Linked DNA regions of Ovis aries. The protein of the gene in region 2 binds, or shares a complex with, the protein of the main gene of each other region. Links are inferred from orthologs where the notes say so. Each region holds a gene or a part of one and is shown on either strand. Other genes may lie near its edges.

Evidence for each region.
Region 1: the proteins of F7 (region 2) and POGLUT1 are in contact, whole or in part, in a crystal structure (PDB 5L0S), measured with the Homo sapiens proteins. The link is inferred for Ovis aries from reciprocal best matches to the Homo sapiens genes F7 and POGLUT1. Residues at the interface, in NP_000122.1 of Homo sapiens: Asp108, Gln109, Cys110, Ala111, Ser112, Ser113, Pro114, Cys115, Gln116, Asn117, Gly118, Gly119, Cys121, Gln126, Ser127, Tyr128, Arg139, Asn140; in NP_689518.1 of Homo sapiens: Met103, Phe104, Pro105, Ser106, Arg107, Arg132, Asp133, Pro171, Ala172, Trp174, Pro178, Thr179, Thr214, Asn239, Gln240, Ala241, Val274.
Region 3: the proteins of F7 (region 2) and F3 are in contact, whole or in part, in a crystal structure (PDB 6R2W), measured with the Homo sapiens proteins. The link is inferred for Ovis aries from reciprocal best matches to the Homo sapiens genes F7 and F3. Residues at the interface, in NP_000122.1 of Homo sapiens: Leu73, Lys78, Phe91, Arg96, Leu99, Phe100, Ser103, Ser120, Lys122, Gln124, Leu125, Ile129, Cys130, Phe131, Cys132, Leu133, Pro134, Phe136, Glu137, Gly138, Arg139, Lys145, Gln148, Ile150, Val152, Asn153, Glu154; in NP_001984.1 of Homo sapiens: Thr49, Asn50, Lys52, Ile54, Glu56, Trp77, Lys78, Ser79, Lys80, Phe82, Tyr83, Glu88, Asp90, Asp93, Gly141, Gln142, Thr144, Glu162, Arg163, Thr164, Leu165, Arg167, Phe172, Tyr188, Trp190, Lys191, Ser192, Ser194, Ser195, Gly196.

Annotation. Positions count from the first base shown.
Region 1 is NC_056054.1:185,127,240-185,130,870, reverse strand, and holds part of POGLUT1 (protein O-glucosyltransferase 1), read right to left. Parts: intron 488-3,631; coding exon 366-487; intron 1-365. UniProt on the Homo sapiens protein: Dual specificity glycosyltransferase that catalyzes the transfer of glucose and xylose from UDP-glucose and UDP-xylose, respectively, to a serine residue found in the consensus sequence of C-X-S-X-P-C.
Region 2 is NC_056063.1:85,832,402-85,836,792, reverse strand, and holds the start of F7 (coagulation factor VII), read right to left. Parts: upstream 2,910-4,391; 5' UTR 2,885-2,909; coding exon 2,815-2,884; intron 1,689-2,814; coding exon 1,516-1,688; intron 23-1,515; coding exon 1-22. UniProt on the Homo sapiens protein: Initiates the extrinsic pathway of blood coagulation. Serine protease that circulates in the blood in a zymogen form. Factor VII is converted to factor VIIa by factor Xa, factor XIIa, factor IXa, or thrombin by minor proteolysis.
Region 3 is NC_056054.1:71,635,897-71,639,527, forward strand, and holds part of F3 (tissue factor), read right to left. Parts: intron 2,489-3,631; coding exon 2,310-2,488; intron 1,556-2,309; coding exon 1,396-1,555; intron 60-1,395; coding exon 1-59. UniProt on the Homo sapiens protein: Initiates blood coagulation by forming a complex with circulating factor VII or VIIa. The [TF:VIIa] complex activates factors IX or X by specific limited proteolysis.

The DNA.
Region 1 (3,631 bases), on a different chromosome or scaffold from region 2:
CCTTCCCCACAATATGATCATTTATTCTTTCCTACTTATAAAAGGAATTCACTCTTAAAGAATCTTAAAAGTATGGAAATATTTAAAGAAGAAAAAAAGAGGCTTCTATAATCCCTCCCACAGAAGCACTGCTGACATTTTAGGGTAAGTTCTTTGGCTCTTTTTCTATGGATATGTAAATACTTCTATACACATATAAAATTGCTTATGCTATAAAGTTTTTTTGTGTGTCTTTTACTTTTAGCTTAAAAGTTAGTCATTTTAGAGAAAATAATTGTCTATACTTAACCATTTACTTCAAGGTGACCCAAAAAGAGGGACAAATAAAACCTCTCTAGAGGACCTACCAGCAGCAGAGGACCTACCTTACCAGATCTTCCCTGAACAGGTCCCACCGTCCAAGACCCATAGGATATATTGGCCAAACAGCGGGTCCTCCTTCCCAAAATGTCCAAGCAGGATACATGATATCATGGTACTCTGATGTCTTCAACAGAAACAGAGAGGTTATTTTAAATCAGTCTTGGAGCAGAGGAAGAAGCAGCAAACTGCACTCATGTCACGGGATCTGGAAAAGGCCTTGCCCCTGCGTTATACCATCAAAGACATATCCAAGTCTAGACTCTGGATGCTAAAAGGCAAAAATGATCATGGGTTAAAAATCATGGGCTGACTGAATCCCAGAATATGAAATCACACTAAATGTCAACTTTTCCAGTACCCAAAAGTTCTATTTTTCTAGAAGACATATACTGTTGGAGGTTTTAGTTTAAGGAAATGATATACCCAATTCTGAATGACCACATAGCTTTCTCATCTCTTAACTGATATCATACTTGGAGTGTATATGGTCCTACCAGTTCTTAATTATTTCCTAGATAAGTCTTTTAGGAGCAAGAATTAGGAAATACAATGCAAGAGTTAAGAGTGTGGGCTCTTGAGAAAGATTATCTGACTCCACCTCTTTCCAACTCTAGGCAAGTTACTTAATCTTCCTAGGCTTCCGTTTCCTTATCTTTATAACTAGAGAAATGATAATATCAATAATGGTATCTATCTAACAGGCTTGTTTTAAATATTAAATGAGTTAATACATGTAGAAAACTTAGAACAGTGACACATAGTAAATACTCAGTAAGTGTTCAGTTCAGTTCAGTTGCTCAGTCGTGTCCGACTCTGCGACCCCATGAATCGCAGCACGCCAGGCCTCCCTATCCATCACCATCTCCCGGAGTTCACTCAGATGTCCATGAGTCCATCGAGTCCATGATGCCATCCAGCCATCTCATCTTCAGTCGTCCCCTACTCTTCCTACCCCCAATCCCTCCCAGCATCAGAGTCTTCTCCAATGAGTCAACTCTTCACATGAGGTGGCCAAAGTACTGGAGTTTCAGCTTTAGCATCATTCCTTCCAAAGAAATCCCAGGGTTGATCTCCTTCAGAATGGACTGGTTGGATCTCCTTCCAGTCCAAGGGACTCTCAAGAGTCTTCTCCAACACCACAGTTCAAAAGTATCAATTCTTCGGTGCTCAGCCTTCTTCACAGTCCAAGTCTCACATCCATACATGACCACTGGAAAAACCATAGCCTTGACTAGACGGACCTTAGTCGGCAAAGTAATGTCTCTGCTTTTGAATATGCTATCTAGGTTGGTCATAACTTTTCTTCCAAGGAGTAAGTGTCTTTTAATTTCATGGCTGCAGTCACCATCTGCAGTGATTTTGGAGCCCAAAAAAATAAAGTCTGACACTGTTTCTACTGTTTCCCATCTATTTCCCATGAAGTGACGGGACCAGATGCCAAGATCTTCGTTTTCTGAATGTTGAGCTTTAAGCCAACTTTTTCGCTCTCCTCTTTCACATTCAAGAGGCTTTTTAGCTTCTCTTCACTTTCTGCCATAAGGGTGGTGTCATCTGCATATCTGAGGCTATTGATATTTCTCCCAGCAATCTTGATTCCAGCTTGTGTTTCTTCCAGTCCAGCGTTTCTCATGATGTACTCTGCATAGAAGTTAAATAAGCAGGGTGACAATATACAGCCTTGACATACTCCTTTTCCTATTTGGAACCAGTCTGTTGTTCCATGTCCAGTTCTAACTGTTGCTTCCTGACCTGCATACAAATTTCTTAAGAGGTAGGTTAGGTGGTCTGGTATGCCCATCTCTTTCAGAATTTTTCACAGTTTATTGTGATCCACGCAGTCAAAGGCTTTGGCATAGTCAATAAAGCAGAAAGAGATGTTTTTTTGGAACTCTCTTGCTTTTTCAGTGATCCAGCGGATGTTGGGAATTTGATCTCTGGTTCTTCTGCCTTTTCTAAAACCAGCTTGAACATCAGGGAGTTCACGGTTCACATATTGCTATAGCCTGGCTTGGAGAATTTTGAGCATTACTTTACTAGCGTGTGAGATGAGTGCAATTGTGCGGTAGTTTGAGCATTGTTTTGCATTGCCTTTCTTTGGAACTGGAGTGAAAACTGACCTTTTCCAGTCCTGTGGCCACTGCTGAGTTTTCCAAATTTGCTGGCATATTGAGTGCAGCACTTTCACAGCATCATCTTTCAGGATTTGAAACAGCTCAACTGGAATTCCATTACCTCTACTAGCTTTGTTCGTAGTGATGCTTTCTAAGGCCCACTTGACTTCACATTCCAGGATGTCTGGCTCTAGATGAGTGATCACATCATCATGATTATCTGGGTCATGAAGATCTTTTTTGTACAGTTCTTCCACCTCTTCTTAGGATTATATAACAACAATGTATTCTGCCTGAGGACAGTCTCTGGATTAAACCTTCTGGCTAATTCTGTTATCTTAAAATGTAAATTATGGGAGTAGGTCTGGTGAGGTCTTTACAACCTCCAGACATTTTTTGGATTCACTGGAGAGTATATAACTTCATTGCTAACACTAACAAGCGGGTACTCTTTCTGCCCCCTTCTGATGCCTATGTCAGAAGCTTTCTCTATCTCTTTTATACTTTAATAAAACTTTATTACACAAAAGCTCATGGTGGAGAGGTCTGACAGAATGTGGTCCACTGGAGAAGGGAATGGCAAGCCACTTCAGTATTCTTGCCTTGAGAACCCCATGAACAGTATGAAAAGGCAAAATGACAGGATACTGAAAGAGGAACTCCCCAGGTCATTAGGTGCCCAATATGCTACTGGAGATCAGTGGAGAAATAACTCCAGAAAGAATGAAGGGATGGAGCCAAAGCAAAAACAATACCCAGTTGTGGATGGGACTGGTGATAGAAGCAAGATTCGACGTTGTAAAGAGCAATATTGCATAAGAACCTGGAATGTCAGGTCCATGAATCAAGGCAAATTGGAAGTGATCAAACAAGAGAGGGCAAGGGTGAATGTTGACGTTCTAGGAATCAGCGAACTAAAATGGAGTGGAATGGGTGAATTTAACTCAGATGACCATTATATCTACTACCGTGGGCAGGAATCCCTCAGAAGAAATGGAGTAGCCATCATAGTCAACAAGAGTCCGAAATGCAGTACTTGGATGCAATCTCAAAAACGACAGAATGATCTCTGTTTGTTTCCAAGGCAAACCATTCAATATCACGGTAATCCAAGTCTACGCCCCAACCAGTAACGCTGCAGAAACTGAAGTTGAACA
Region 2 (4,391 bases):
TGTAGGAAACCCAGAACTGCCTCTGAGGGAGCAAGAGGAAGCCGCGTGAGATGTGGGCGCCTAGGCAAGCGTTTACGTCCCTGTGGGGGAGGCGCCGGGCGGCTGGGGCTTCCGACCAGCCCTCCCAGTGGGCTCTGGAAGCCACACCGCTCCTGTGGAGACAGGTGGGTTCATCCAGGGAAGCGAGTTTTTTCTCTAATACCCGCCCCTCCCATTGCTAAGGCCACAGAGGTCTGAATCTCCTCTCCCAAGTTCCAACCCTAGGCTTCAGCACCAGCCCTGCCATGTCGGAGCTGTGAACGTGGGTGAGACCCCACACTCCCCGAGCCTCTGGGCTGCCCCCGATGCTGTGCTGACAGTCCAGACACCCGCTGACCAAGGAGAATGTGGGAAAGACACGTGAAAGTGCCCTGCCAGTTCCAGGGGCCTCTTCAGTAACAGGGATTCCCCAGGGATCTTTAGGCCAATGAAAAACAGCTCTGTTGCTGTGAGAACACACCAAGGTGAAATCTGCTGGAAGGTTCTGAAAACCACAATCCACTCCGGTTCTCCTGCCTGAGAACCATGGACAGGCGAGCCCGGTGGCTACAGTGCGTGGGGTCGCAGAGAGGCAGACACGACTGAGCGACTCAAACACACACACAGACGCAAGGGGTGACCGTCCTTAGCGCGGCGGGGAAGGGCCGTGGGAGCCCTGCCTGCGAGTGCAGAGTGTGCGCCGTGCCAGGTGCGTGTTCCATGCGTGTGAGACGTGTGTCGTGTGTGTGATGCGTGTCCCATGCCAGGTGTGGGTCCCATGCATGTGAGACGTGTGTCCTGTGCGTGTGAGACATGGGTCCCATGCGTGTGAGACATGTGTCCTGTGTGTGATGCGTGTCCTGTGCCAGGTGTGGGTCCCATGCATGTGAGACGTGTGTCCTGTGCGTGTGAGACGTGGGTCCCATGCGTGTGAGACGTGTGTCCTGTGTGTGATGCGTGTCCCATGCCAGGTGTGGGCCCCATGCGTGTGAGACGTGTGTCCTGTGTGTGATGCGTGTCCCATGCCAGGTGTGGGTCCCATGCGTGTGAGACGTGTGTCCCATGTGGGGTGTCCCTCGAGTGTGTGGGGAGAGGGGGTCCTGTCTCTGGCCTCCTGATCCTCAGCCCCCTGGAAGGAGACAGTTTCAGCAGGGACCTCTCTGCTCGTGGGCGGGAGGGGAGGCCCGCCCCACCTGCTCCGCCCCGCTGGGGGAGGCACAGGCTCCCTAGTTGCGCCCTCCCCACTCGCGCATCCCTGAGGCGGCCCTGGCCGGGGTCGCCGATGGCTCCAATGGGTCTCTGAGGGCTGCTGGACAGGTGGCCCTGCCCGGGGCCTGGACGGCTTACGGGGTCGGGGGCCATCCTCAGGGGGGTGAGGGCACAGGAAACTGCTTCTGGATGAGGGGTGAGGATGCGCAGGGGGTCTTGGCATGGGGAGACCCCGGCCCCTGGCGCCCAGAGCCCGCCACCCGCCCCCGGCCCGCCGGGTGAGCTCACCGTCCTCTCCTCGTTGCGGAAGATCTCACGGGCCTCCTCGAAGGAGCAGAGCTCCTCCTTGCACTCCCGCTCCAGCGAGCCCGGCCGCAGCTCCTCCAGGAACCCGTTGGCACGCCGGGGCCGATGCAGGACGCTGAGGGCCTGCTCCTGGGGCAGGAAGACTGGGGGGCACGCTGTGAGACACGGGGGCGACGGCACCATCCCCCCACCTGTAACAGCACCTCCCCACCACCCTGCCCCCCCATGATGCGATCACAGGCCCCTGCCCCCCCTCGGTGATGGGATCACAGGCCCCCTGACCCCCCTCGGTGATGGGATCACAGGCCCTCTGCCCCCCACCCCGGTGATGGGATCACAGGCCCCTGCCCCCCACCCCGGTGATGGGATCACAGGCCCCCTGCCCCCCACCCCGGTGATGGGATCACAGGCCCCCTGCCCACCCCGGTGGTGGGATCACAGGCCTCCCACCCACAGCCTGGCTAGTTTGCAGCAGGAGCGTTTCTCACGGCTGCCAACGGGCAGCACCGCACAGGCTTCATATGGGAGGAGAAGGCGACATGTTTAATTATAACATGTCCACGCCCTTAACCGGGTCCCTTCACTTCCAGTTTATCCTAAGGAGATGCTCTGAGCCCCGCAGACACGTGGCCGCTGGGAGAGCTGCAGACACTGGCAGCGCTAACGACCCACCCCCGGCGACCCCAGGCGGACAAAGACGGTTAAACAGGAAGGACCCGGGGGGCCACCGGCACTGGAGCAGGCCTGCGGGTGGGGCCCCGCAGCCGGTGTGGGCGCCGGGGCAGACGTGGACGGGTCTAGGGGATGGTGTCGGCACCTGGCTTCCGCCTCGGCCACCCCTCGGGGCTGGGGAATCACGGTGGTGACCGCTCACAGAGCCGCCCGCCCGTGTTCCCACTCAGGCCTCTCCGCGTTCGTGGGTGGGGGTCGTGTTCACTGCCGCGGTGGCTGAGCACCAGGCGCAGCATCTGTGCCCTGTCCCTGGGAGAGGGGGTCCACCAGCGAGCGGCTGAGAGCAGAGCGGGAGACGGGTCGCCTCTGAGCCCGCGTCGGCCTGGGGGGCGGTGGAGGCAGGGGAGGGCCCGCCGTGGCCAGGGAGCCTGCCCCCAGGCGTCTGGGAGGGGACTGGGCTCCAGGGGCTCCGCTCATCTTTTGAAAGGCAGGCAGGTCAGAGAGGACCCTCCAGCCAGGCTCCCGGCAGACGGGAGTGCCTACCATGCAGGCCAGCTTTGGGGGCAGCTGGCCTTCCACGGGGTTAATGGGGAACCTCCCCCCACTTACCTGCCTGCAGGGACCCCCGCAGGCTGAGCAGAAAGCAGAGGAGGGCCAGAGCCGTGGCCTGGGGCAGCATGGTAGGGTCCTAGGTCGCTCAGGCTGTTGACTTTCCCGGGGCGGGCAAAGTTCTCCCAGAGCCGGAGGCGGTGGGGGAGGGTGCTGCAGTCCTGGCGCAGGGCCTGCGGACGGGGGCTGGCCGGGCCGCCCCACGGGCTCCGTACCCAAGACTCCGCGGTGCGTGTCTGGCGTGTGCCGCTCTGGGGAGGCTGCTGGGGAGGAGTGGTGCCCGCTGCCCTGTGATGGCCCCGGCAGGGCGGCGGGCCCGCGGTGTGACTGTGAGCGCGCTGCAGAGTGGTCCTCCTGGCTCGGGGGGCACGGGGGAGGGGCGTGCCCCCAAGCAGCCCCTGTGGCGTCTCAGCCCCACGCGGGTCCCTTGGGCCCTCCTGCCCCTGGGCCGCAGAGGGGGGTGACCAGCTGCCCCGGCTGCCGGGCACGGACAGGTTTCTCAGGACCCTGGACTTTCAGGGTGAAGTCGGGGTGCCCAGGGCCACTGGGCTGGTGGTCTCCCTGCGGGGGCCCCTCAGGTGTCCGGTCTCCTCAGGAGGCTCCCCTTTCCTGTTAACAGTGGGCTGGGGACACCTGCCCTGTGCCTTCCTCTGTGCGGGGGTGACGGGGCCCAGCCGTCCCTGCAGGTCCCGGGTGCTCCCTCTCCGAGAAGAAGACAGCCCTCTGCTGATGGCCTCTGGACTCTCTGCTCGTCACTATCAGTAACTACCAGTTCCTCAGGACCCAGGTGTAGTGGAATTTGTGAAGGATGTTGGGGGGACTCCGAGCCCCTCGGGGACACGAGGCAGGTGTAGCCGCTCTGGGCTCAGCTCCCTGGGGGCCCTGGCTCCGTCTTCTCCAGCTCTGGAGGGGCTCACCCCTCTGAGCCTCACTCTCCTCACGGGGCAGGGGGGCTGGCGAGGCCTGCCGAGAGCTGGGGGCGCCCTGTGTCCTGTGAAGGCTCTAGAAGGGCCCCCGCCCCCGCGCCATGAGCGGCCAGCATCCCAGCCTCCTCCCACCCCAGCCACCACCTTCTCAGGCCAAGCGCCTCGCAGCCACTGGATTCCTCGTGTGCCCTCCTAGCTGCCCATGCAGCCCGCGCCTGGCGGCTCCCAGCCACAAGGGACTAGCCTGTCCCAGGTCTGGGTGCCGGTGTTGGAGGGCTGCGCTCCCTCCGAGGCTCTGGGGAGGGTCCTTTCACCTCTTCCAGCTCCCGAGGCGCCAGTGGCCTTTGGGCCTGGCCACACTGAGCGGACAGTTTCTGCCTCTGCTGCCCTCTGTGTGTGTGTGTGAATCTCCTGCTTTTTCAAGAACACCAGTCATTGGACAGGAGACACTGCAACCCCGTCTCAACCTGCTGCTCCTGCAGTGACCCCGTCTCAACCTGCTGCGCCTGCAGTGACCCCGTCTCTAAGCAGGTTGCCTTCTGGTGTTCTGGATAGAGGGGTTTCTTAGGGGCTGCTCTCTGCCCAGAGCCCCTGATTTCCCTTGAGCAGAGCTGAGCTGAGCCTGTGTTTGCAGCCGCACATGCGGCATCC
Region 3 (3,631 bases), on a different chromosome or scaffold from region 2:
CAGGACGACGATGAAGATGATGATCACAAGCATCACTGCTCCAATGATGAAGAAAAGTTCTGAAAAATAAAAGGTACCAAGTCAACTCAGAGAGAGAGCCTGAATCTCATTTTTCAGTGGGCAGAACCCAGGGCATAACCCCAAATTATACCATCCAGCTTTTGTGTAACTTGAAATCTCCTTTCTCCACCACACATTTCTGTTAGGAAAGAATCTCTCAAACCCTAGATGTTTGCAGGCAATTGACAACAATGAAAAAGCATTTAACAAACTGGATAATGCTCACAGTCTAGAAAGATACATGTAGATGGAAGCAAGAATAGCTGTTAGAAACAAGTGGCTAAAGATGATGCCGAGCTGGGTAGCAATGATTATAGTAGAAGATGAACTATCAGTGCAAAGAGAGATACAGAGTGCTACCCAGATTCACATAAAGAAGACATAACTGGTTGGGGCAATAAGAAGGCTTCCTGGTAGAGGTGGCACATGAAACGATTCTCAGAGGACACATTTCAGCAGAGAGAGAAGAGGCAGGGGAAGCAGTGATCTAGGTGTGCGCGAAGACAGCGAGGCAGGGGAACTCAAGCTGGCTTTAGGAAGATGGATGTGAGGGCTGCGGGTGTGATGGCCCAAATGGTGCAGGACCTGGGAGAAGGAGAGCCCTTTGCTTTTGTCATTGTCAGTTAACAGGAGAGAATTTTTAAAGTGACTTTAAAATATTTAAACTACCTCTCAGCAAGGCACTAGGTCATTATTACTATCCTCTCACTCTTCTGTTCCCTTACTCAGAGCACAATCCCAATCAAGCCTGGAGGCAGATTCCTGGGCTCTCAGTCTCGTGCACATGTCTGAGCCTCCATGGCACCTCCAGACAAGATCCACTCCTCACCTGGTGTCTGTGCTGTGGTGTGGCACATGTGTGCACACGTGTGCCAATGAGGCACACACATGTACACATGTATCTGCTAGCCCCAATCCCTTTGCTTCATGGGTTATGACCCTGGGCCAACAGCAGCCCATGATAGGTGCTCACAAACGTCTATGGGGTGTTGCTATACCCAGTTCCCCAGGTGAGCTGGTGAAGCTCACCACAAACCAGGAGTATGAAAAAATGCCCAGAGAAATCTGTGATTTGATACTAAATCCTAAACATCTACCATGGGCCCAGGGCTCGCTCAGCTTAGTGCATGCTAGGTGCTAGAGAAAAAAAAAAAAAAAAACTAAAAAACACCTGTTAATACAAGGGAATGACACAGAAACTAAACGTCTAAAATCATGAGTACCCTCCCCCTGCCCCAACCACAAGAAACCCTGAAGACAGTACGTCTAGTCCTGAGGGTGTAGCTAGTCCCGCGGAAGGCAGCCCTGCCTCCCAGACCGCGGGCAGAGCCTCACCTGTGGCCAGACCTTTCTCGTGGCTAGTGCACACGATGGGACTTTCTGGACTCTTCTGGTTAGCTCTTCGTGATAGAATCACTGCTTGAACATGGAAACAATAGTTTTCGCCTTTATCCACATCAATCAAAAACCCATTAGTGTTTGTCGTGGCCTTTTTCTGTTAAAAGATAAGAGTTCTTTATTCATCCAGGCTCAGAGTGAATTCTGTTGCCTTTACTAAGTCCGTGTGGTAGTAAAATGAAAGTGTTAGTCGCTCAGTTGTGTCTGACTCTGCAACCCCATGGACTGTAGCCCGCCAGGCTCCTTAGTCCATGGAATTCTCCAGTCAAGAATACTGGAGTGGGTAGCCATTCCCTTTCCCAAGGGATCTTTCCAGCTCCGGGATAGAACCTGGGTCTCCTGTATTGCAGGCAGATTCTTTATGGCCTGAGCCACCAGGGAAGCCCAGCCTATGTGGACACATCTGACATAAAGATTGGAAGTCAGTTGGCTCATCAAGCTCCCCCTGATAACTGCTAAGGATTTTTTCCCCCAAGGATGAAGACACTTTGGATACAGTCAACCCAATATTTAGCCCCATTAGAAGATATCTGCAAGAAAGGAAAAAAGGAAAGAAGTACTAATTGTTGAATGAAAAACAAATTCTGTCTCTGGGATCCTCAATAGAAGAAGAAATGTGGGAGCTAGTGGGAACCTTAGAGATGACTGGTCTGCCCCTTGGCTGGGAATCTGGGTACCCGAGGCGGGCCAGTCCAAAGCAGCTGAAGTCACAGGCAGAACCAAGACAGCAGTCTGCTTCCCACTCTACAACACTGCCCTGTCAACAACTTGCTTTGATGTTTGACTTGGAGAAGAAGTGAAATCAAGGATTTGCAATTTTTAAAAAGTCATAAAAACAAAAGAATGCTCACCTTTCCTGTACTGGAAGCTTTCCAGTAATAAAGTGTATAATTCAAGTCCTTGCCAAAAACATCCCGGAGGCTTAGAAATTTGCCGTCTGCTCTGACTAACGTACGTGCATCTTGTACGGTCACATTCAGTTTTGTCCCAACTTGTTCAAAACTCCGAATTGTTGGCTGTCCAAGGTTTGCTAAAACACAGAAAATGAGCTTCGTTGGGACTAAAGAGTTCTATACAAAGTAGAACCCCATTGAGTTATCATGGTTAATAACCACCTAGTCATCCCTCATGAAATACCTCAAAGAACCAGCTCCCTGGCACCGGAGCTGAACCAAGAGACATTCTACAGCAGTGCTGTCTAGCGGAAATGTACTGGGAGCCACAGATGTCACTTTAAATCTATCTCCTTGTGGTCTCATTAGAAAAAGTAAAAAGGTGAGTGAAGTTAATCTATTTCATTTAACCCAATATGGCTAAAATATTATAACTTTAACATTCAATCAATATGAAAACTTTGAGATCTTTCTCAAAATCCAGTGTAAATTTTACACATACGGCATTAGCTGACATTTCAAGCGCTCAACAGCCACATGTGGTTAACCAAACAGCTGCAAAAGATTCCATATTTTAGATACAATAGAGGCTGTGGGAAAGCCCACGAAATGTCCTTGGTATCTCAAAAAATCACTTTTAACCACCAGGTCTCTTTGATGGCTCAATTATCTCATGTGCTTTGGTTGAATAATAGTGAAACAAATCCTCATAATTCAATAGGAATTATAGGCAAGGATGTGTGTGTATGAGCACACAGAAATACAAACTATTTTCTCTCTTGCACCAAAAAAGGATATGAAGTAGCTTACAAGAAGCTCAAGAACGGGGCTTGCCTGTTGGCTCAGTGTTAAAGAATCTGCCGGCCAATGCAGGGGACAGGGACTCGATCCCTGATCTGGTTAGATCCCACATGCCTCAGAGCAACTACGCCCTTGTGCCGCAACTACTGAGCCTGCGCTCCAGAGCCCAGAAACCACAGTCACTGAGGCCATGCACCCTAGAGCTGGTCTCCACAAGAGGAGCCATCGAAAAGAGAAGCCTGTGCACTGCACCTAGAGAGGGGCCCGTGCAGCAAGGAGGGCCCAGCACAGCCAAAAATAAAAATAAATGGAAATTATTTTAAAAGATCCTCATGAACTATAAAAGAAATCATGAGGATGCTGCCCAAGGAGGGAGACTAAATATCAATGAACCTGTAGTTACTGTCAGTGGTCATGGGTGGGGTCTAAGCTTAGAACCGGGAGAGGCACACAGCTAAAAGCACTAAGGAGTCTGAAGA